Linked DNA regions of Arabidopsis thaliana. The protein of the gene in region 3 interacts with the protein of the main gene of each other region in a pairwise test. Each region holds a gene or a part of one and is shown on either strand. Other genes may lie near its edges. The genes, in order: RXW8, AT5G15240, CLV2 and CNGC5.

Region 1 (7,922 bases), 2.6 Mb from region 3:
ACCTTTCGTACGACATAATTTCCATAGATGAACAACTGAAAAATGGCCATCTCATCAAAGAGATTGATAGTTTTAGTTTCTCATACTCTGAGCTCTATAAAGAAGTTCCATTTCTTCTTGCAGTAACTATAAGATGTACATTTTTATCTTGGCAACAAGACTGTACATGTTTCCCCCATATAATTTGTATAGGAATTTTCATTGAAGAAATTATCAAATATCCCAGAAAAACTTACATCTACTTTTCTTCAAGTGAGTGAAAGTATTCCCAGTAACATTGGTTTTGCAGCTGAGCATGCCTACGAGAGAACTCTTGTGCTTAATGCACTGATTTGTTGGAGACTTTGTGATTGAACCAACACATAGGCACTTCACTAGTAAAAACATCTGTCTAGTTCCGTTTGTGAAGTTCGATCTTCTTTGGAGAAAGATGCTCAGGACTTAGTGTCATGTTCTTGACCAGATTCATTGCCTTGGAATCCCCATAACTCTTTAGCTATCGCATCCCCCTCCTCTGAAAAATATAAATCTCATTAGTCTCTAATCAAGTGATATCTATAATCATACACAAACAGTGATATAAACTCGAAACCTGGCTTCAATTTTTCAGGATCTGGTAACTCCTGCTTTTTGAAAGGATTACTACATTCAGCTTTACTCGATGATTTCTGAGAGTGTAATGGTATCTGCGAGTATACATTATGCAATTTTTTATGTAACTCTTCCATCTTTCCTGATATTTCATCAGCTCTGTCCATATCTATGAGAACCTGAAAAGAAACACATCAATCAAGCACCGAGAAGACGCATAAACTGCAGTAGGAACATCAAAGGTTTTGGTTACATTTAATATACCTGGGCAGGATTTTTGTTGAAAATGGGCGCAAACCTCTGCCGACAATACTCACTAAAAAGTAACGTGAGAAGAATTAACGGTATGGTGAAACCCGAAGCAACTGTTGATAGCTTTAATCCGAAAAACCCCAAAGCTATAATCTGTGTCAAGATCAGTGAAAAGATTGTTGTGTTGTGGAAAATAGGCCAGTATTGTCCACCGCTTTCGTACTTCGTAATATACACGTTGAGTATCTGCAAATAGAAACAATTCTGTTGAGCATCTACAAAGGGTTGTCTTTAAAAATATATATCAAGAGTTCTTTTTACTCAATGCATGAGCTTGGCACTACTAATGGCTCTTATCACATTGTACATGACTATAAACATTGCAGAAGCAAAATTCCGAAAAGCACAAATCCAATTTCCATCTAAAACATGCAGGTCACAAAGTAACTAAGCTTTCACAAATTAGGTACAAGTCCATTATGATGCTTTTGGAGAGATTAACTGTGATATTATGTACAAGAGATCAGAGAACACACTTACTTGATTTTTGTATATGAGATATGCAAGGAAAAAGTATATCAGCAAAAACGGCAGTATCAGTGGTGCTATGACTGAATTGGTGAAACCCAGGAGCCCAAACAAAAGCAGCCGAGGAATTTCGGTGTGGTATGGGAACCTAAGTGTTTCATATGACTCATCCTCGTTCTTGGTAACAACTTTTGCTACCAGATTCCAGATAAGAGCCATAGGCTGCATTATTTCACAAGCCAAACTGGCCCAACCAGATGTGAAACAATAGGTCATGAAGAAGCCAGCCTGCATACATGGTTAAAGCCATATTCAAAATCAATGATACAATTTTCATTTTTCCTAATAAATATGAAACACAAGCAACCAGAAAAGCTCAATCCCAAATAATTCCTCCAATGGGCTTTAATATCTCTGATATATAATTTTATCATGGAACGAGGAAAAAGAACAAACTATTAAAGTTCCAGCGCAAGAAAACACTATATCCAATCCGAAAGCTGCAAGATCTTGGCAAAATGTAACCTAGCTAATGTTCAGAGACTGTAGAAACCTGAACATTAGCAAAATTCAAACTTTTGCTCTGAAATGTAAAAGGACTATGGGTAAATTACCTGTGTTGGCACTGCTCTAGCAAGTTGTGCAGGTATGTCTCTGACACTAGAAAAGACATTCAGTTGCCTGATAACAGACCCTGATAATATATTCACGAAGAACACATTCCAAATGGTAAAATATAAGACTTTGATGCAAGCACTCTTCTTCCTTATACTCCGTGAAATACATCCCTCCAAGGCCGAAAAATACATCATCAATGGTGGAACGGCATAGAAAAATAGAATCAAGATCACACTGGGTAAGTACCCTGTGATGACCTGGTTTATAAAGTTCCTGCAAAATGGTTTTGGTGGCCCGATTAACTTGAAAGATGATAAAACAAATCAAGAACATAAATTTTGATTTCTCCAATGGTTTGAAAGCTATAGAGAAGGCTCGTGTGTTCTATACTGCACCGGAGTTCCGCCTACTTTTTAACGCCAATTCTAATATCATGTCCAGAAGAAACAAAACCATATATATATACATGCGTAAGGAACCAGCAGGGCACTCACTTGCTCAAGATGCCTCTTAGAAAAGGAAATGCGTGAGACAGCTGCACTAGTTGAGTCAGCCCTTGAATGAAGGTAACGGGAATAAGAAACACAAACATGAAAGCAACTGCACCAACAAGGGTTGCTATTTTCCGTATCCAAAGTTGTCGATAAGGAATGTTGAGATTCTTCCAGTACACATCATGAGGTTCTGGGGCTAAGTCTGTCACCCATAACATAGGATTTGATGATTGTAGAACCTCCGAAACAACAAGAGCATCATAGCGAGTCTTAAAAAACACAAAAGCAGCTGAACGTTCCTGCAAAACGCAGAAAATTTTGTGGCTTTAGTAAGCTATTCTATATTGTGACTAATTAAAATCAAGCATTGCTACTTCTAATCGCTACCACAAAAGTGAAAAATCTTAGTTAACTATACTGAATTGTCGAATATGGTGCTACAAATCATTAATGATGGTTTAAAACTGTACCGAGTAAACAAAACTATACAAGTCTATGCAGTATCAGACAATCAGACTGCCACTTCCAAAGTTCAATTTGTATCCCATTAAAGTAAAAGAAGTCTTTATCTGTCAGGACCAGGTGAAAAACTGAGAAGAAATGCAGTGGAAACTTCTAAATCAGTTTGTAATGTTAGTTGAAACGATCCTCTCCACTGGACAGAAGAAATAACAGATATCCACATCCTATGCCTAGATCAGGGAAAGACAGAAGAATTCCTTACTTGCTCTGTCGTAGTCGTAGTCATAGTCAACTCACCAAGCTCCATTCCTTTCACACTGTCTGCCTCATTCGATAGGATATGAAAAGAACTTGTGGCTGTAGGTCCTCCACAAAAGGTGCATGGCCTTAAACTCGGTTTACAATTGATTTCAGGAGAAACGTGTTTTAGAGTCTGGCACATCCTCTCCGCATCACGCTGAGACAGAAATTGGAATAATCTAAACGTCACACTTTTTATCTGACATAGAACATTAAATTTCAAATACTTTATCACAAGCACAAACCATCCACATATCATTTACCCAATTTCTACAACATGCTGACAGGTAATAAATGAGAAACTGATGTAGTGATACTGAAATAACCACAGTATCAGAAAGCAGTAGAATGAAAGCCCAGCAGTAGGATACAGACAGAGTTGCTCTAGAAGGTCCTTTCATATTCCCAGAATATGCATCTAAACTGTACCCCTTTTAGCTGATACACGAACTAAATTTCATTATTATATCTACTGTGCTATGTAATATCATCAATCTCTGCATCTAGTCATCAAATAACCCTTTATAACATCCAAGCAGCACATAACAATTCAGAACCATGAAATTTACACCAACTACGAAAGCTATCAACCAAAATGAATACTGCAATAAGAAGTAACACTTAAAGCTGGCAAAATGTTCAAAACTTCAAATCATTTTCACAAAGAGCAATAACAGTTTTTTAAAATAAATCTAGGTGACGGTTTTAATCTGACAAGTAAAGCAAGAGGAAGGTGGCCTGCGTAATAGTTTAGTTAAAAATGACTGTTCCAAGAAATATACGTACCAGCAGTCTCTGAATGATGCCATTATGGTAGACCATTTGGTGGGACACGTAGCTGGACGAGTAGTAGTTTGTGAAGAATTTGCTCAGCGTGTCGCTGTAAGATTGCTCAGGAGACCATGGAATAGCACGGATAAGAACGGTAAATTGACTTGGCTTTGAGGCACATCCAGTAATATGCCCAAGCCTCATTTTAGCTATGGTGCTATACTCCTACAGTATAAAAAAAATGTCAAAAGGTTGGGAAATAAACTAATAAGAAGATACATGGAGGAACCAAGAGTAAGTATTCAAGTATGCTGTATGCATGAGATAAACTAAGGTACGAGGTCCTCACAAAGTAGAGCAGAAGACATGCCGCTGAGGTTATAATGTACAGTGCAAGACAATGAACCCACAGCCTGAGAGCAATAAATGTAATGAGAAAAAATCAGCACTTTACACACTCTGCATAGAGTAACATCTTTCAAAGAGACATAGGTAGAGATAAAAAAAAACATTTACCATTTTGAGCCTTCTTTAAGATTTTCAATTGTAAACACTTCGGATGACTCCAAATGGATTTCCTTATGCACCATCGGTTGCCCATAATAATTAACAGGCAGCACAAAGGCAATGCAAATAACAGCAACTATAAAGAAAATACGAATGCTGCAGAACAAAAAACACAAAGTAAAACAAACACTACAGAACAAAACCAAGAAGCAGAACAAAGAAAAAGCATCTGGGAGAGTTTATTTTCAGTAACCTGAAAATGACCATCCTAAGGAAGACGACAGCATCAAGACCAGCAGCAGCTAATAACTCGTCTTCACTAGTCTCCCATGCTTTCACAAGCCAACTTGGAGACGGCACAAACCTCTCATACCAAAAAGGATCATAACGTCTAGCACCACCACAAACAAGCCTTCGGCCAAAATATACACAGTAATTGGCTGGCTGTTTCCTAAGTATGGAGTAAAGTGATAAAAGAACTATGCATATCGAAATATTAATTCCAGCAGATGTAAGAAGAGCTGATATCTCCATCTTAATCTTAGTTCAACTCCTTCCTGACTAAAAATCGCAGGAAGAGAAGAACTTCATAAGTACGTCGTCTCGTCACAAGATGGCCAACCTAGCAATACAGGAGGTTCTTAGATTGGCAGGAGAAACTGTAAGAAAACATCACAAAAAGAAAAAAGATAAGAACATCGAAATAACAAAAGTCCTGAAATCCAATGCTTAAAAAAACAGATAGGCTAACGAAACACCGCGAAAGAGACTGATAAACAATCGTCGATCAAACGTGTAAGTTGAATCCAAACTATCTTAACACTAACCAAAACTTTCTGCATTTGCATTGCAGATACGAAAAATTGGAAACATGAATCAAATCATAATCAGTACCTAAACTTGCAGAGGAAGATAAGTTGGTTACATACGACCCAAAGATAACAAACAACATAATGCACTGAGATTCAATTTCAAGTTATCAATTTCTGTTTTCCGTTAATCAAAATTACGATTCGCAATTTCAATGGTGCCTAAACAATAAAGTAGAACTACGATAGATGAAAACGCGGAAACGTAGAACAAACAATGAATCAGAGAATCGCATTCCACTAAATCCAGTGAAACAAACACAATTTCGATTCCCAGGGAAATCAATCGAAGCAAAATCATCAAATCCAATTCGTCAGAAAAATTACAGATACAACACGAAGTTGTATAACAGAATAAACCAAATCGAAGAGATTTCAGAAAAAAAAAAAAAAACATGACTTACAGAGAGAAATACCAAAAACTTTGGTTTGACTTCAGAGAATTCGATTGCGAAGAGAACCAGAAGATTCAGAAACCCTAAGAATTCGCAGAGAAGAGAAGAGAAAAAAAAAAAAATGAAACACCGAATTGCTTTTAAAATTCCAATTCCGCGAAGAGTTCGCATTTCCAGTTCATTCAAATCATAACTTAAAATGAAAACATGCAAATAATTAAAATTAAATACAAATGATTAGGCCACGTTGTGTGGCCGGTGAAGAAGGGAGCGACGATTAGGCCACGTGTCGGTTATAAAATGGTTGATGCTCCAAGATTTGATACTATGTGAGAGCGACTACTCTGTGGTCGAATTTATTATGACCGTTGGTTTTGTGATAGAATGGGTAAGATAGCGACACGTGTGGGTGCGTTTTTTTTCACAACGTTCGCTCAAGTGTTAGTTAAAACTGTTATGACTATTGAAAAATTAAAGGAAAGGTGAAGAAGGAATCATGGATTTTGGATTCATGTGTTTCTTGTTGCAAGTGAGATATGCATGAGTATGACATAAAAGTTTTATTCAATATAGTACTACTAGGCCTGGACATTCGGTTAACCATTCGGTTTCGGTTCGGTTGCGCATGGTTTCGGTTATTTCGGTTATAGTAATATAAGAACCATTTTGGATATTTGAGGAATTTTGGTTCGGTTCGATTCGGATATCTTTCGGTTCGGTTCGGTTCGGATATTAAACTTGGTAACCATAAATAAACCAAAACCGAAATAACCGACTAAAAACCGAAACAAAAAAAAAAAATTGACCAATAACCGATATAGAACGTACGTAAAAAAAGATATATTCACAACTCACAAAGATGCAAATATGGTCCATACTCTCCATAATATTAAAATACCTGATTCACAACTCACAAAATTCAACTTGCAAACTAATAAAGAGAAGAACATAGTTAAGTGTCAATACATACAATATATGTGATATATTATCTATCATACATATATGCTTTGGTTATCCTTTGGTTATCGGTTACTAACCTAACCAAAACCGAAACCGAAATCTAAAACATATAATATCCAGCCGGTTATTTTAAGCTATCCAAACCCGAACCGAACCATGTTTTTCGGTTCGGCTCGGTTCGGTTAATCGGTTAGCGGTTCTTTTGCCCAGGCCTAAGTACTGTAGAATAGTTTTTTTTTTTTTTTCTTATGAAAGTAACATATGTATACTATTTTGGGTATTATTATACTAGTATGTTACAAAAGGAATAAAATAGTCTAAAACGTATAAAATTCCACTATTTGATTGTATATTTTTCCGTTGAAAATATTTATCTTTATCCCACCAAATATTATTATAGAAAAAGAATGAATATTTAAAATTTAAGATATGAATACATAGTGAGACATGAATTAAGATGAAAAAAAATTTGAAACAAAAAGATACAATTTTCTTTGATTCCTCAACATCAATAGACTTTGCTCAAATATTTATCGAGTAAATTGTCGACGATAACTTGATAAGCTCTTTCAGATGGATGATAGCTATCCCAAAATATGTATGATGAAGAATTAGAACACGTAAATGGGTTCAATGAGTTACATAAATAGGATATTGTGAGCAGTCCTTTACCGCAACATCCTTTATCGGCTACGTCAAAACCTAAAAGAAATGAGATAATTGGAATAAAATTTAGTTCGACAATAAAAATGAATTATAATATATAGTTTCTATATAGATAAATCTGTTAGATGAACTTACCGTATTTTTTAGGGTGTTGGATCATGTCAAAAAGAGTATCATAAACATTAATGTAAAGGATAACACCATCCAACTCTTTATCTAAAGAATCTAATGCTGGAGAAAGTCTTGCGTTGAATTGTTTTGCCATGTTGTTTAGAGGTTCATTACATCCTCTTGTAAAAAAACCTCCAAAAACTGTTCTTTGTAATGGAACACAACCAACGGGGACTGCACTAAACACTCCAATTTTTCGAGCTCCAAGCTTATGTAATTCCTAATTATCAGTTATAGATAAGATAAAATAGTTAGTGGATATAACAATATATTATTGATTAGTTTATGTATTATTATATATAACTACGAATAAAATACTTACTCTCACGAAATGGACA
Region 2 (5,276 bases), on a different chromosome or scaffold from region 3:
AACCCACTATCTTGAGACCCACAAAACAGTAAAAAAAAAAGCTAATGAATTTCCACTAGATTCTGTTGTTTTTATTAGTAATAAAAAATTTTTGAGTGTTAACATTTTGATATTGTTTGTATTTGAAACAACCAGAATGCCCATCGGAATGTGATAGGAGGTGTAAAAAGACACAGTACCACAAGGCTTGCATTACGTTCTGCAACAAATGCTGCAGGAAGTGTCTCTGTGTGCCTCCGGGTTACTATGGGAACAAACAAGTTTGCTCCTGCTACAACAACTGGAAAACTCAAGAGGGTGGACCAAAATGCCCTTGAAAAAATCTCCCTTCGTTCCCTTTTTATAATAAAAATTTTCAACTATAACTAAATTTCCTTTGATCAATGTTTTATCTACTTTATTCCTAATGTTGTAATGTTATGTCACTCCTTTTCGGATTTTGTTCTAAATCCTAAAAAAAATGAGAGTGGCCCTATGAATGATATTTTTCATGAATACTTGTGTTTCTAAAGATATTTTCCCATTCATCCACCAAAAAAAAAGATATTTTCCATTTCGAAAATAGTAATACTATAAAGGGTAAGGCAAACCAAATAATACAATTTAAAAAATTCCTGCGAAAGAAGTATGCATATGTAGAAAAGAGTGACATTGGGTCTCTCGGCCCAGTACTAAAAAGCCCATTATTGATTTTTCCAAGCTTTTTACAAAATCACGTGTTCTAACGCGATTGCTTTTTGCCGCAATCTTCTTTTATACAAGACTTGGGCTTTGGGCAGTTGGAAATAAATAACGACAACGATATTTTACAATCGGTGCAATGATATGAACCACAAACTTATAAACGTTTTACCCGTTCATTACCCTACGTATCAATAAATACTCTTAATAATGCCTTATATATTGACATTAATCGACAAGAAATATGAGGTTTGGAGTACAACTATAGTTATTAGCATTAACAACAAAGCTCAATTTAGCTCTCTTTGTTAGACATCTCACATGCATTTTGAATGGTGATCTTGAAGAAGATACTTTTTTTTTTTATCAACATGTGCATGCTATTTTTTCACAAGCACAACATGGGGAAATGGCCGGCAATGAGTATTCTTCTTTTCTAAAGAACTCATTTTGTAACCTATAAAAGTTTTTGGTTTCGATTTCTGAATGAAAACATATTGGATAACTGTAAAAAATTTGCAGTATGGTTTTAATAGTAACGAAAATATATAGATATATATGTCGATATTTTCATTATTGTTAGAACTACTCGGCACCTTGTAGAACATAACTGTAAACTAGCGTCAAGATATTGATTTACGTCAGATCAAGGCTATTCATACTTATCTACTCTTTAGGTCTGGGGATTCACTTGTCAACTATTTTTAACAAACGACAACAAAAAAATATGTGACGATTTTTCAAGTGCTCCAGTCTCGTCCAACAGATTATTGACATGATATACTACTTTGGACCATGTATTTTTATGAAAATTTGATCCCTCTTCAGTCTTCACCGAAAGAGGATTTGGTACTTGCATTCTCTCTATCACCTAAGTTAAACGCCCTAACATTAAAGTGGAAAACTTCGTGGAGTTTTATTTTCTCTCTTCCTACCAATTTTCTTATACAACTAACATTAAATTCTAGAACCACACAAATCGCAAATTATGGTAGATTTGTGTGTAAGTGGTTATAATTTTTTTCTATATAAAGAGTTGCACTTAAATTTCAATTAGTTTCTAAAAACCCCATCCACGAATATTTAATTGGTCAATAAACATTAAATAGAATTCCACTGCCACGCTAATATCGTGTAGATATCATATGTGCATGGATACTGCATAAAAATCAGCTCTAATAATTGATGTAATTTAAAAACATTGACCCTAGTAAATGTATTAACACTATATATATTGCCTTTTGAGGGTTTCTTTATTGTTTACTTCCAAGTTCCAACTTCTCTCTATCTATTTCCTTCGTCTCTCGATCTCTCCGTCTCTCTCTCTTTGTCTCTTCGATATCCAAAGAGCAGAGTCAAAGACTAAACAAGTATGAGCGAGGACAAAGATTACATGTCGGAGCCATTTATCGTTAAGAAGATTGATGATGAAGAATCATTGCTTGATGATTATAATCCACAGGGCAATACTTCTTTCTCCAAGACTTGTTTCCATGGCATTAACGCCTTATCAGGTTTAATTTCCTCTTCTTCTTCTTTTTTTTTTTTTCTATTTTCATTTTCGTGATTGATTTTTTCTTTTTGATTTATTCACCACTTCTTCTTATCTCCAAACTCCATAACTCACGGGGAAAGATCCAACTCTTAGCATGTCCACATATATGGATAGGATATATCTTAATTTTCAAAATAATCTAGAAAAAACTATAATTAGCTTTATTGTACTTAATTTCTATAGATGCATGTTTTTAACTCAAGCTTTTGACTTTATCTTGTATCATCTAGATTGGTGTGTATTTCAATCCTACATTTTGTTTCTTTACCTCCTAGTCTTGCCTCAGTTTTTTTAGTTATTTAATTTTTCTGTTGATAATTTATCATAACCAAGTTAAAACCAGTTCTACTTAGACTGAATTGTGTTTTTCTTCGTCTAGATTCAGTTTCATAGTCTTTGATAAACAATAGTGCTAAATAACCAAATCATTTTTGTTCTGACTATTAAAGGTTAGGATGGTTCCGTTTAACTGAATTTAACACTATAGTATTAACAATTCGGCAAAGTTTTCAATGACTATTGCTATTATTTATTCGCTAAATGTGGTAATGGCCTAATAATGGGTTTATCAAACTGGCCGCTATCGTTGTACTTAATTGTTTATATACCAAACTAGATACTTAGTTTATACTAAAAAAACTAATTATATACTGGAAACACGTCTGACCAAACTAGACCAAACTAGACCATATACGAACAAAAAACAGTCCATATAATTAAATAGAAAGAAACCAGCAATTCCAATTATCTTTCAGATATAAATACAACGTGTCACTGAACAAAACCTTAACACATTAACAACACGTCTTCCCTTTTCAATTTGTGTTCTTCTTCTTCTACAAGACTACAAACCACTTTGATAAAATCAAATCATATTATCTTATTGGTAACGAGACCACGAATATTTCTTTGCGTTTGTGTTTTCAATTAAAAACTGCGTTTGCGTTTTCATATATACAAAAAGAACGTTTGTAAATAGTTAACACAAAAAACGTTAATTAGCATATGCGTTAGGCTTGGACATTCTTCTGATCAACTCTTTTTTTTTTAGGTGTGGGTATATTATCGGTCCCTTATGCCTTAGCATCCGGAGGATGGCTAAGTTTGATCATACTTTTCACCGTAGCGATCACAACTTTCTACTGTGCCATTCTCATTAAGAGATGTATGGAAATGGATCCACTTCTTAGATCATACCCGGACATTGGCTACAAAGCCTTTGGAAACACAGGACGTGTTATCGTCTCCATCTTCATGAACCTCGAGCTTTACCTAGTTGCAACTAGTTTCTTGATCCTAGAAGGTGACAACCTTAACAAACTCTTCTCAAACGTTGGACTCAACTTCATGGGGCTTGAATTCCAAGGCAAGCAAATGTTCATCATCATGGTGGCTCTCATTATTCTTCCTTCGGTTTGGTTAGACAATATGAGGATTCTTTCTTATGTTTCCGCGAGTGGTGTCTTTGCTTCCGGGGTTATTCTTGCTTCTATCTTTTCGGTTGGAGCTTTTGAAGGCGTAGGGTTCAAGAACAATGACTCAGAGGTCTTTCGACTTAATGGAGTCGCTACTTCGGTGAGCTTATACGCGTTTTGTTATTGCGCTCATCCAGTTTTCCCAACTCTATACACTTCCATGAAGAACAAACGCCAATTCTCAAACGTAAGTTTTTTACATAACGGATCATTAGGTTATTCTTGACCAAAACTCACACTAATAATTTTGCATATTTTTTTTAACATTTTCAGGTTATGATTATATGTTTCACAATATGCACCTTCATATATGCATCAGTGGCGGTATTGGGTTACTTAATGTATGGATCAGATGTTGAATCACAGATCACTTTGAATCTTCCTACTGATAAGCTTAGTTCAAAAGTGGCGATATGGACTACATTGGTCAACCCAATAGCTAAGTTTGCTCTCATGGTTACACCTATTATTGACGCAATGAGAAGCCGGTTTTCTCGAGTTTTGCCTAATAAAAGAGCTTCTGGATTTTTGCTAAGTACAATACTAGTTACTAGCAATGTGATTGTGGCATTGCTTCTTCCGTTTTTTGGTGATCTTATGAGTCTTGTGGGAGCATTCTTGAGCGCATCCGCATCGGTTATATTGCCATGTTTATGTTACTTAAAGATCTCTGGGAAATATCAAAGACTCGGATTCGAAACATTGGTGCTCATCGGAATCACTCTAACCGGTATCGTGGTTGTGATAACCGGAACTTACCAAGCGGTCAAGGACATTTTTGGTCGATTTTGAAATCCCAATAGGTGAAGTTTAGCTTATAGAGTATTTGTTTAGGAAGATATTTGTACTACCAACAGTCCAATACCATAATTTGTTTTATTTGATTTTTTGTGACTTTCGTTAACGAAGTTTTTTTGAGTTATGTAATAATTTGGAATGAGAAAAATGTGAATACGTTAAATGAAGACATGAGTTGATCTAGGTGTCTGTATTAGACACTAATCAAGTCATTGATTCGAATTCTTACATCGCCATCGGTATTTAACGGTTGATCAGTATACTCAGACAGAATTGCTCGAAACTCGTCTCCCGTTAAGGTTTCTTTCTCCAACAAAACATCAACAAGCTTGTCTATAGCTTCTCTATTATTCCTCACGTGCTTTTTCGCAACCTCGTAAGCGTCACCGATTATTTTCTTCACGCAAGAATCAATATCCTCCGCAAGTTTCTCGGACATTGAGTTCCTCGCTAGCATCCGTAGAACCACATCGTTTTGCTTAACCGCTGGGTCGGTTAGTGCCCATGGACCGATTTCCGACATACCAAACATCGTCACCATCTGAACCATAAGAATAATTAGAAAATCCACCGTTTTTTTCCGGTTTATGAAAATTTTGTTTCAATTACTGTACCTGTCTTGCTATCTCAGTGACTTGCTGGAGATCACCGGCAGCGCCGGTGGTTATCTCCGGTTCTCCAAAAATTACATCTTCGGCGGCTCTGCCTCCGAGTCCTCCGACGATTCTAGCGAACAATTGCTGTTTAGACACCAATGTCGGATCTTC
Region 3 (4,631 bases):
TTCCTCCCATTGCAAAGGTTTTAGATATGCAATCATTCTGTTTCAGAACAGAGAAATCACGAATGCTCCAAGAGAATTTGTGAAAAGGGAGATTCTCATCAACAGGGACGGGTGATGAAGCAATCTTCACATGAGCACCAAACTCACATGGTTCTCCTTCCACGATAAATCCCTTTGCAGGGTCAGTGAATGTTTCAAGCGACATAGCTTTTGGCAATCCCCAAACCGTTTTAGAAGAACTGAAACGCTTAACTTCAACATCTACATGTTTACACGTATACACACACATTACGATTCATTCATTCATATATACATACGAGAGAAAAAGAGAGATAATAAGGATTTGAGCATACGAACCTTGGATTGAGAGGTACTTGTTGTCTTTCTTGTTAAAGACAAAGAAAGAGAGATAATCAAACACATCAATGGGTGGTGTTGTGGATGAGAGACATTCCACATACATAGACACAAAGCCCTTTCCATTGTCCTCTTCGTTTCCTTTTGGGTAAACAACCAATCTCCTGATTTTTACAAAAAAGGCAACATTTCTTAGTTATATATGCTTGTAGTGAAGAAAGATGTGAAAGTCTGACAAGAGAACAAGACGAAGGAGGAGTCTTTCTCCAAGTCTTCAACATTGCAGAATCTGATGCATATGAACCCATTTTCTCTACAAAATGTTGCAACCCTAGAGAGCAAAACAAAACATACCCATAATCAGAAATGATCTGACGAAAATCGAGTTACAATACACAAGAGAACATTTTTTTTAGAATTCTCAGATATTAAAAATGACACAGAAAGCTTTATGCTTTTTCCTCTTAAAAGACTAAACAAGTTGAAATCTAGAGAAAGAACTGACCAACCTGAGACAACGAGAGAGACTTGAGAGATTTCTTCGGCACTTACTATTAGATCTAGGGTTTAGATACCATTTATATAGAGAAAGTTTTAGAGTTGCACAAAACATAAATTAATGTGTTAGAATGGGCCTAAAGCTACAAAGCTGGCCTGGTTTTGTTTTAAATTGTTGGTTTCATGGACATTTTCGACATCTTCGAACATGTTATTTTTTGAGACTATGCAAACTTGAAGCTCTTTACTCGAGTTGAAATCGTATGACTTATAGTGAAATTGTACATTTGGTTTCGATTTTTCTTTTACACTCTTTCTTCTTTGAGCCGGTAAATTTGGAATTTTTCTTCATAGTGGAATCATATGCTGTTTTTTTTTTTTATAGTAAACGTTACAAGAATGAATGGTAACTTTATCCAAAAAAAAAGAATCATATTATTTTGAAATGATTTTAAGTAAATTCTAGGTTCAATAACATAAGATTTGAGACTAAATTTAAAATTTCTTAGTAAAATATATGATTTTTTTATAAATACCTATAAAATTAGTAATTAACAATACGGATTACGTACTGAATCAAACCCTTTGTATTTTGTTTTTCCTAGAAATAAGTGTAGATTTTTGGAATTTTGCATTAATTAATCACTTCTTGGGTCTGAAAGGCTAAAACAAAAGGAACCGAAAGAGAATGTTCTCTCTGTCTTTATCTTCCACTTCCACTTCCAGGTCGCGTTGCTTCACTCTCCATTGCAAAGAGAGGTCTCTGCGATTTCTGCAACTCACCCCTGAAACCTTCTTAATTTACTTCAACTGCCGCTATACCTAAAAACTTCATCTTTCTCCTCTGAGCTATGATAAAGATTGCAGATTTCACTCTCTTCTTCTTTATCTTCGTCTTCTCTCCCTCGTTGCCTCTAGCTCAATCTCAGCTTCCCGATCTCGACCCACAAGACAAAGCTTCTTTATTGATATTCAGAGTTTCGATTCACGACCTAAATCGAAGCTTATCGACATGGTACGGCTCATCGTGTTCTAACTGGACAGGTCTAGCTTGTCAGAATCCGACCGGAAAAGTTCTCTCCCTCACTTTATCCGGTCTGAATCTCTCCAGTCAGATTCACCCATCTCTTTGTAAGCTCTCTTCTCTTCAAAGCTTGGACCTTTCTCACAACAACTTCTCTGGAAACATTCCTTCTTGCTTCGGTTCGTTGCGTAATCTTAGGACACTTAATCTTAGTCGGAATAGATTCGTTGGTTCGATACCCGCCACATTTGTAAGTCTTAAGGAGCTTAGAGAAGTTGTTCTAAGTGAGAATAGAGATTTAGGCGGTGTGGTCCCTCATTGGTTTGGTAATTTCTCAATGAATCTTGAGAGAGTTGATTTTAGTTTCTGCTCGTTTGTTGGAGAACTACCTGAGAGTTTACTGTATTTGAAGTCTCTCAAGTACTTGAATCTTGAGAGCAATAACATGACTGGTACACTCAGAGATTTTCAGCAGCCATTGGTGGTTCTTAATCTTGCTTCAAATCAGTTTTCCGGTACGCTACCTTGTTTCTACGCCTCTCGTCCGTCTCTTAGTATTCTGAATATAGCTGAGAACTCTCTGGTTGGTGGATTACCTTCTTGTTTGGGTTCTTTAAAAGAGCTGAGTCATTTGAATCTATCTTTCAATGGCTTCAACTACGAGATATCTCCTAGGCTTATGTTTTCAGAGAAGCTTGTGATGTTGGACTTGAGTCACAACGGGTTTTCAGGTCGTCTTCCTAGTAGAATCTCGGAAACAACTGAGAAATTGGGTTTGGTTCTTCTTGACCTCTCTCACAATAGCTTTTCTGGTGATATACCGTTGAGGATCACAGAGTTGAAGAGTTTACAAGCATTGCGTCTCTCTCACAATCTTTTAACTGGAGATATTCCTGCTAGAATTGGTAATCTGACATATCTCCAGGTCATTGATCTTTCCCACAACGCGTTAACCGGCTCAATACCTCTCAACATTGTTGGTTGCTTTCAGTTACTTGCTCTGATGATAAGTAACAACAATCTCTCTGGCGAAATACAACCCGAGCTTGATGCGTTGGATAGTCTAAAGATACTGGACATAAGCAACAACCATATATCCGGTGAGATCCCGCTTACTTTAGCTGGTCTGAAGTCTCTAGAGATTGTGGATATAAGTTCCAACAACCTCTCGGGGAACCTTAATGAAGCCATTACCAAATGGTCCAACCTCAAGTATCTTTCTCTTGCCCGGAACAAGTTTAGTGGAACACTTCCTTCTTGGTTGTTCAAGTTTGACAAAATCCAAATGATTGACTACTCCAGCAACAGATTCTCTTGGTTCATACCAGACGATAACTTAAACAGCACACGCTTCAAAGATTTTCAGACCGGTGGAGGTGAAGGATTTGCTGAGCCACCAGGAAAAGTAGAGATCAAAATATCAGCAGCTGTTGTTGCTAAAGATGAATTAAGTTTCAGCTACAATCTATTGTCTATGGTTGGGATCGATCTTTCTGACAATCTATTACATGGAGAGATCCCAGAAGCTTTGTTCAGACAGAAGAATATTGAGTACTTGAACTTGTCCTACAACTTCCTTGAAGGTCAGCTTCCACGTCTAGAGAAGCTGCCAAGGTTAAAGGCCTTAGATCTTTCACACAACTCTCTGTCAGGTCAAGTCATTGGAAACATCTCAGCTCCTCCAGGACTAACCCTACTGAACCTATCGCACAACTGTTTCTCTGGTATCATTACCGAGAAAGAAGGGCTCGGGAAGTTTCCAGGGGCGTTGGCCGGAAATCCGGAACTGTGTGTGGAAACTCCCGGAAGCAAGTGTGACCCGGCAAACATTGATGCATCACAAGAGGAAATATATCAAAACGAATTGGTGGAAGGACCGATATCTATTTGGATATTCTGCTTAAGTGCGTTTATTAGCTTCGATTTTGGAGTGTTAGGTATCTTTTGCTCAGCTCGTGCTCGTAGTTATATTCTTCAGACCAAAGCTTAACTCCAGAGACTGATTGATGTATATTCAGTTGTAACACATGCATGTATGTTGTTGGTCTGAGCTGTGAAGTGGAAATGCTCGCTTTTAACTAAAGTCTCTCCCAAATGTTGTTACTTGTGTATATAGTTTGACCGGTTAACCTTTACATGAACCGTATTGGGTTCTTGTTCTGTTTGTGATTCAAGAAGTGATTAGACTCAATAATCTAGTACTATCTATCTAAACACATCGAAACTCGAGTCAGTGAGTAGTGGTGTTCATTTCGGAGATTAGGACAGGAAATGGTGGGTAATGATCAGGAACATACAATTTGGGTGTTTAAATGTATAATCCACGAGTACAAAAAATGATAATCGAAAATCAAACCGAACGAAATGAATAGAAAAAAACAGAGATATGGAGATCAATTAAAGTTTAGTAACAGATCTAACTAGCTAGAACCAATTTAATTTCTAACAATCTCGGTTTCAACTGAAATATGGTTTCGGAGAACCTGTGATAACTTTGCCAAAACCATTCACTAAACCATAACCAGGTTAATACTTATCTGAGTCAGAACAAGAATTCCGAAGGTTTGAAGAGCTGACCAAAGAACAAAACGGTCCCGGTTTTGTCTTCTCGGATAAGGAAAATAAATGGATGATCAGCCACAAAATCTATCTTCTTAGGAGGTGGCCCCATATCAAGAGCACAACCGTCATCTTCTACATCAGCAGTTGCAGCCGCAGCTTCAGCACCTTCTTCATCGATCTCGACACAAGC
Region 4 (6,500 bases), on a different chromosome or scaffold from region 3:
TGAGACCGCTCTCTCTTCCTTATCCTCCATCTTCCAATGGTTTAATCCAGCAACTGTCGACGATGTCGATAACGTACTCCGCTATTTCCTGTAAGTTTCTTCCTCACTGTGTGTCGAATCCGTCCTCAATGCTCAATTTTATCCATTTATTGTGAGACTGTGATTGATTTTGGTTTCCGTTGTTTTATCCAGCTAGTACAGTTTCTGGGTTTTCACCAAAAAGTGTACCTTTTGCTATTCATAGCGTAACCAGGAGGCAATTTCTTAATCCCAACACGTTTTATAGATTTGGGTTCTCTCCTTCTCTTCAGGTCAGATTCCTTTACTAGTCAGTATCATCCAATTCTCCAGACTCTGCTTCGTTGTTGTTTTGGTTCTTAGAATTAGACCACACTTCGTTGCTTCCCTTTGAAGTAGAGAGTCAATGTTTACTGTTATGTGCGGATATGTTGTGCAGGGAAGTAGCATTGAGTTTAGCCTTCAGTTGAATTCAAGAGTTGTGCTTAGTAAAGAGCGTCGATCTCTGCCATTAGTTGTGAGAAATGATCGTCCTCAGAATGAAGACTTACCTAAGCAGTACACAAGGCGAGAGAAGAAACCTTTCCCAGTCCCTATTGTGGACCTGAGACGAGCTGCGAGGGAGAGAGTCAAGAACAACAAAGACAAACCTAAGAGACCTCTACCTCCGCCTAAAAATGGTATGGTTGTGAAGAGCCTTGTGCCTCTTGCTTATAAAGTATACAATGCAAGAATCAGATTGATCAACAATCTCCACCGGCTTATGAAAGTTGTTCGTGTTAATGCTTGTGGGTAAAAATTCTCTTCTTCTTCTTGTTTCATTTTTGGTCTGTTTTGAGTATGGCCTTTTTTTGATGTTGTATGATTGGTCTCTTAGGTGGTGCAATGAGATTCATGTTGGACCTTATGGGCATCCATTTAAGTCGTGTAAAGGTCCCAATACTTCCCAAAGGAAAGGTCTTCATGAATGGACTAACTCGGTTATTGAGGACGTTATTGTTCCTCTTGAAGCCTATCACCTTTTTGACCGCCTTGGCAAGCGTATCCGTCATGATGAAAGATTCTCGATTCCCCGAGTTCCTGCTGTAGTTGAGCTCTGCATTCAGGGCGGCGTTGAAATACCCGAATTTCCAGCAAAAAGGAGAAGAAAACCGATTATCCGCATTGGCAAAAGCGAGTTTGTTGATGCAGATGAAACTGAATTGCCTGATCCAGAGCCTCAGCCTCCTCCAGTGCCATTGTTAACTGAGTTACCTGTCTCAGAGATCACTCCCCCATCTAGCGAAGAAGAAACAGTCTCCTTAGCCGAAGAAACATTACAGGCCTGGGAAGAAATGAGAGCAGGAGCCAAAAAGCTGATGAGGATGTACAGGGTTAGGGTCTGTGGGTACTGTCCAGAGGTTCACGTAGGTCCAACGGGACACAAGGCCCAGAACTGTGGTGCATTCAAGCACCAACAGCGGAATGGCCAGCATGGTTGGCAATCTGCAGTACTTGACGACTTGATACCGCCAAGATATGTTTGGCATGTTCCTGATGTGAATGGGCCACCGATGCAGCGAGAGCTACGAAGCTTCTACGGGCAAGCACCTGCTGTTGTGGAGATATGTGCTCAGGCTGGCGCTGTTGTACCTGAGCATTATAGAGCTACAATGAGACTGGAGGTTGGAATTCCTTCGAGTGTGAAAGAAGCTGAGATGGTTGTTTGATATGTAGAAGACCTTGTAAACTTCTTCTTGTACAAAATCCTCCATTCCACCTTGTGTTGTATAATAATATCACAGCCCAGGTCTTTTTGACTTTTGAAGGACAAAAAAAACAATCCACGCTAATCCTATTATCAAGGGTAAAAATGTCATTTGCTTCGTTTTCATCTTTTCTCGTTGCCATTTTCTTTTTTTTGTCTGTGTCAAGTCGATACCACTTGTCTGGTAGCTTTATACCCACTTTCATCTTTTTCATGTTCGTAGTTGTTCCTCTGGTTATCCTCATCAACGGGACCCTTGAAACCGTGTAGCCATGTAAGCCTTTGTCTTTGTCTCTTTCTCTTGCTTCAGCAAGTTCACGTCTGCTCTATTTCTAATTTTGTTCTAAGATTCAATTCTCCTTTTTTCTATGCGAGAAATTTAAGATTGGTTCTCTAGCTCTACCTCTTTAAATTTGTTACTATGTGTCGGTGTCCATCATTCATCAAATTTTTTCCTTTTTTATCCATTTGAGTTGATGTAATGATGTTGCTTCGCTTCATACTGGTCAGAGTTAGTCTAATCTTCATTTTAGCACAACTTGACAACTTCATATGGTTATGACTTATTTTTACTTGGGTCTTTCAAAGGTTAAGTATTTTAGTCTTATTTTGGGATGATGCAGCTTGCTTAATGATTAGAGTCTTAAAGCTGTGCTCTTTCTTCATCGATTTGAGCAAGTGATCTTGGAAGGCTCTTGAGTTCTGAATTCCTTGTAAGCAATCATGGCAGGGAAAAGAGAAAACTTTGTGAGGTTAGTGCTGCATCCTTTTGTTTTAATACAAAGATCTGAAGTTTGAATGTGAGAAACGTATTGATTTGGCAATGGTTGTTTCTGATTTGTTTCCTTATGAAAGTATAGTGTGATTGTACTGAACTATAGCTTGTTGGTGCATAGTAATCTGAAAGTGGTGTTGTTCATACCTTTTATAGGGTGGATGATTTGGACTCTAGGTTACCATCATCATCTGTAGCCTTCCAACAGAACTACGCCTCCAATTTCAGTGGACAACTTCATCCTATTCATGCAAGCAATGAAACTTCTAGATCCTTCAAGAAAGGTATCCAGAAGGGTTCCAAAGGGCTTAAGTCGATCGGACGTTCACTTGGTTTCGGTGTTTATCGAGCAGTGTTCCCAGAAGACCTTAAAGTATCTGAAAAGAAGATATTTGATCCTCAGGATAAATTCCTTTTGTATTGCAATAAATTATTCGTTGCGTCATGTATTCTTTCAGTGTTTGTGGACCCTTTTTTCTTCTATCTTCCTGTGATTAATGCTGAGTCCAAGTGCCTGGGTATTGACAGAAAACTGGCTATCACAGCAAGTACATTGCGGACTTTTATCGATGTGTTTTATCTCGCTCACATGGCTCTCCAGCTTAGGACTGCTTATATTGCACCTTCATCACGGGTCTTTGGGCGAGGTGAACTCGTGATTGATCCTGCACAGATAGCAAAGAGATATCTACAACGTTGGTTTATTATTGACTTTCTCTCAGTACTTCCTCTCCCTCAGGTTGGTTAATATAAGTTTTGATCATTTCAGTAAATTGTGTGTTGGAAAACATCATTGCTTAATTTGTTGAAAGGGTGCAGTAGCCAGTAGTTGGTGATCAGACATCTCTGTCAAGCGCTTTCTAGTTCTAGATTTACAGTACTCATTTTGTGTATGTGCAGATTGTAGTTTGGAGGTTCTTGCAAAGTTCAAATGGGTCGGATGTATTGGCTACAAAGCAGGCCTTGCTTTTCATTGTTTTGGTCCAGTATATACCGCGATTCCTACGTGTCTTACCCTTGACGTCAGAATTGAAAAGGACAGCAGGTGTCTTTGCTGAAACGGCTTGGGCTGGTGCCGCTTATTATCTGCTTTTATATATGCTTGCAAGTCATGTGAGTTTATATACCTTTTTCATTTTAAGACGTTGCTTGTACTATTCAATGCTTGCCCATTCACCATGAGTTATGTGACTGTGGCACCAAAAGTGCAAAACAAGGAAATATTTGCATATCCGTTTCACTGTTATGAACTTATGTTCAAATGTTTAGTTTCCTAAGACATGTAAAGGAGCTTATTGAGCTTTCTGGTTAAGCCGTCTATGCTTACCTTTGATGTTCTATGCAACCTTTCGTTTTATCTTAGTTGATGTTCATGCCTCATGGGATCACAAATGTCAAGTTTCTTATGACGAGCAACTCTGATTGTATAGCTTATTTACTCTTCAATAATAGTATTGACTTGGTAAGTGCTATTTTGATTGAGCCACTGTTTCGTATCTTGCAGATAGTTGGAGCTTTTTGGTACCTTTTAGCCTTAGAACGTAACGACGCCTGCTGGCAGGAGGCCTGTATAGATGCAGGGAATTGCAGCACAGATTTCTTGTACTGTGGCAATCAAAACATGGACGGCTATGCTGTTTGGAACAGAGCCAAGGAATCTGTTCTTAAGTCCAAGTGCCGAGCTGACCTCGATGATAATAATCCTCCATTTGACTTTGGGATTTATACACAGGCTTTATCGTCTGGAATTGTCTCGTCCCAAAACTTCATCGTAAAATATTGTTATTGTTTGTGGTGGGGCCTTCAGAACTTGAGGTAACCATGTTCTATCACTATTCAGTCGAAAGACTATTGCTTTGATCTTACCAATTCTCACTAAACTCGGCTCCTTTATCAAAGTTATGCGTCTATGAGTTTCAGATATTCATATAGTACTTCTCATTGTTGCACCACAGTACACTTGGACAAGGGCTTGAAACCAGTACATACCCAATGGAGATTATATTTTCCATATCTCTCGCCATTTCTGGGTTGATCCTCTTTGCTCTTCTCATTGGAAACATGCAGGTGAGTAATTATGGTGCAACCTTAGCTACTTTCGTGATCATTAGAAATTTCTTGTAAGCTCTTTCAATGGAAGCATCATGCATAATTTGTTTCCTCTGCATAATGACTATCTAACAACATTTTGCAATCTTGGGACAGACATATCTCCAATCTCTTACCATCCGGCTTGAAGAAATGAGAGTAAAGAGGCGTGATTCAGAACAATGGATGCATCACAGAATGTTACCACAAGATCTTAGGGAGCGTGTGAGGCGCTATGACCAGTATAAATGGTTGGAGACACGTGGTGTAGATGAAGAGTATCTCGTTCAGAATCTTCCCAAGGATCTCCGGAGAGACATCAAGCGGCATCTCTGTCTGGCTTTAGTGCGAAGGGTAAGTTCTCCCCGCTGTTCCTTATTCAAGCTTCTCACATAGATCACACACCCTTTTGAACATCTAGGACCCATTGAATAACAGTCGGCTCATAACTAAAACGAGCTCTTGACCATCGACAAGCTAGCTTGGTTCATGATACGTTTTTACCATAATATTAGGTTCCATTGTTTAAGAGCATGGACGACAAGCTGCTGGATGCGATCTGTATGCGGCTGAAACCATGCTTGTTCACAGAGAGTACCTACTTAGTGCGGGAAGGAGATCCTGTAGACGAGATGCTATTCATAATACGTGGTCGCCTCGAGAGTGTGACAACAGATGGAGGCAGGAGCGGTTTCTTCAACCGCAGTCTCCTGAAAGAAGGAGAATTCTGCGGGGAAGAGCTTCTGACATGGGCATTGGATCCAAAATCAGGTGTAAATCTCCCGTCTTCCACGAGGACCGTGAAAGCTCTGACAGAAGTAGAGGCGTTTGCGCTGACCTCAGAGGAGCTGAAGTTTGTAGCAAGCCAGTTCCGGCGCTTACATAGCAGGCAAGTGCAGCACACATTCAGGTTTTACTCTCACCAATGGAGGACTTGGGCTGCTTGTTTCATCCAGGCTGCCTGGCGTAGATACTGCAAGAGGAAGAAAATGGAAGAGGCAGAAGCCGAGGCCGCGGCTGTGTCCAGCTCAACCGCTGGACCTTCATACTCCATTGGGGCTGCATTTCTTGCCACTAAGTTTGCGGCTAATGCGCTTCGCACCATTCACAGGAACCGGAACACAAAGATTAGGGATTTGGTGAAGCTGCAGAAGCCTCCTGAGCCTGATTTCACTGCTGACTGATGATTGAGCAGCTTGTAGACATTATTGTTTATAATTTATGGGAATCATTACGGTTGAGATAAACAAATATTGCTTGGCTTTAAAGCTGCTTGTGCTGTCTGTAAAATTAATATATGAAGTGTAGAAACAAAGAGATTATAGCCGTTGGATTTAATAAATGTACGGTTAGGATCATATGCCGGTTAAAGAATGGGTCTATTGGGCCTTTTAATGAAGCCCACAATATATTCACGGTGACATGCTCCGGTCCCAAGGTAGAGAGAAGTTGCGATTGATTTCGGTGAAAGAATTAAGAATCGATCGGACTTGGAGAAGAGAAGAGAAGATGGTTGGCGCGAATCTGAAAGCGGAGACGATGGCTCTAATGGACAAGAGAACAGCCATGGAGACGGAGATGAACTCTATTGTCGAACGTCTCTGCAATCCCGGTGGTCCTGGTCTCTCCGGCAATCTCATCGACTCGGAGGTACTGTATCTGCGTCCTCACTCTTCTCTAATCTTAACCGAAAATTCTGCTTAATTTTCTCCTTTGATTCGTTTGCTTATGGCAGGGATTTCCTCGGGAAGATATTGACATTCCCATGGTGAGAACTGAGCGCCGTCGTCTTGCTGGTGATTTCTCTTTTCTTGTGCTGAATTAGTCCATAGTTAGGGTGAGACTACAACTCCAAGGTTAGTTTAAACTTAG

The links.
Region 1: the proteins of CLV2 (region 3) and RXW8 interact in a protein complementation assay, tested with the Arabidopsis thaliana proteins (one large-scale study listed by BioGRID).
Region 2: the proteins of CLV2 (region 3) and AT5G15240 interact in a protein complementation assay, tested with the Arabidopsis thaliana proteins (one large-scale study listed by BioGRID).
Region 4: the proteins of CLV2 (region 3) and CNGC5 interact in a protein complementation assay, tested with the Arabidopsis thaliana proteins (one large-scale study listed by BioGRID).

What each region holds. Positions count from the first base shown.
Region 1 is NC_003070.9:21,730,678-21,738,599, reverse strand, and holds the start of RXW8 (GDSL-like lipase/acylhydrolase superfamily protein), read right to left. Parts: upstream 6,035-7,922; 5' UTR 5,797-6,034; intron 5,183-5,796; exon of another isoform or gene 5,146-5,182; 5' UTR 5,058-5,145; coding exon 4,777-5,057; exon of another isoform or gene 4,680-4,776; coding exon 4,533-4,679; intron 4,430-4,532; coding exon 4,366-4,429; intron 4,242-4,365; coding exon 4,032-4,241; intron 3,403-4,031; coding exon 3,208-3,402; intron 2,783-3,207; coding exon 2,484-2,782; intron 2,263-2,483; coding exon 1,986-2,262; intron 1,660-1,985; coding exon 1,384-1,659; intron 1,090-1,383; coding exon 856-1,089; intron 771-855; coding exon 593-770; intron 515-592; coding exon 435-514; 3' UTR 1-434. Other genes in the region: AT1G58525 (GDSL-like lipase/acylhydrolase superfamily protein), read right to left, coding at 7,256-7,428, 7,549-7,804, 7,907-7,922. UniProt on the Arabidopsis thaliana protein: Acts as an osmosensitive calcium-permeable cation channel.
Region 2 is NC_003076.8:4,945,709-4,950,984, forward strand, and holds AT5G15240 (Transmembrane amino acid transporter family protein), read left to right. Parts: upstream 1-1,868; 5' UTR 1,869-2,053; coding exon 2,054-2,195; intron 2,196-2,866; exon of another isoform or gene 2,867-3,287; coding exon 3,288-3,898; intron 3,899-3,984; coding exon 3,985-4,503; 3' UTR 4,504-4,702; downstream 4,703-5,276. Other genes in the region: GASA4 (GAST1 protein homolog 4), read left to right, coding at 136-317; FTSH6 (FTSH protease 6), read right to left, coding at 4,703-5,050, 5,124-5,276.
Region 3 is NC_003070.9:24,285,237-24,289,867, forward strand, and holds CLV2 (Leucine-rich repeat (LRR) family protein), read left to right. Parts: upstream 1-1,505; 5' UTR 1,506-1,706; coding exon 1,707-3,869; 3' UTR 3,870-4,093; downstream 4,094-4,631. Other genes in the region: AT1G65370 (TRAF-like family protein), read right to left, coding at 1-261, 358-463. UniProt on the Arabidopsis thaliana protein: Involved in the perception of CLV3 and CLV3-like (CLE) peptides, that act as extracellular signals regulating meristems maintenance. Required for the sensing of the root CLE peptides (e.g.
Region 4 is NC_003076.8:23,454,628-23,461,127, forward strand, and holds CNGC5 (cyclic nucleotide gated channel 5), read left to right. Parts: upstream 1-1,937; 5' UTR 1,938-2,039; exon of another isoform or gene 2,040-2,270; intron 2,271-2,388; 5' UTR 2,389-2,488; coding exon 2,489-2,517; intron 2,518-2,696; coding exon 2,697-3,279; intron 3,280-3,440; coding exon 3,441-3,653; intron 3,654-4,044; coding exon 4,045-4,355; intron 4,356-4,495; coding exon 4,496-4,607; intron 4,608-4,745; coding exon 4,746-4,982; intron 4,983-5,143; coding exon 5,144-5,812; 3' UTR 5,813-5,994; downstream 5,995-6,500. Other genes in the region: APO2 (APO RNA-binding protein (DUF794)), read left to right, coding at 63-90, 193-311, 458-810, 896-1,727; AT5G57950 (26S proteasome regulatory subunit), read left to right, coding at 6,051-6,278, 6,364-6,424. UniProt on the Arabidopsis thaliana protein: Probable cyclic nucleotide-gated ion channel.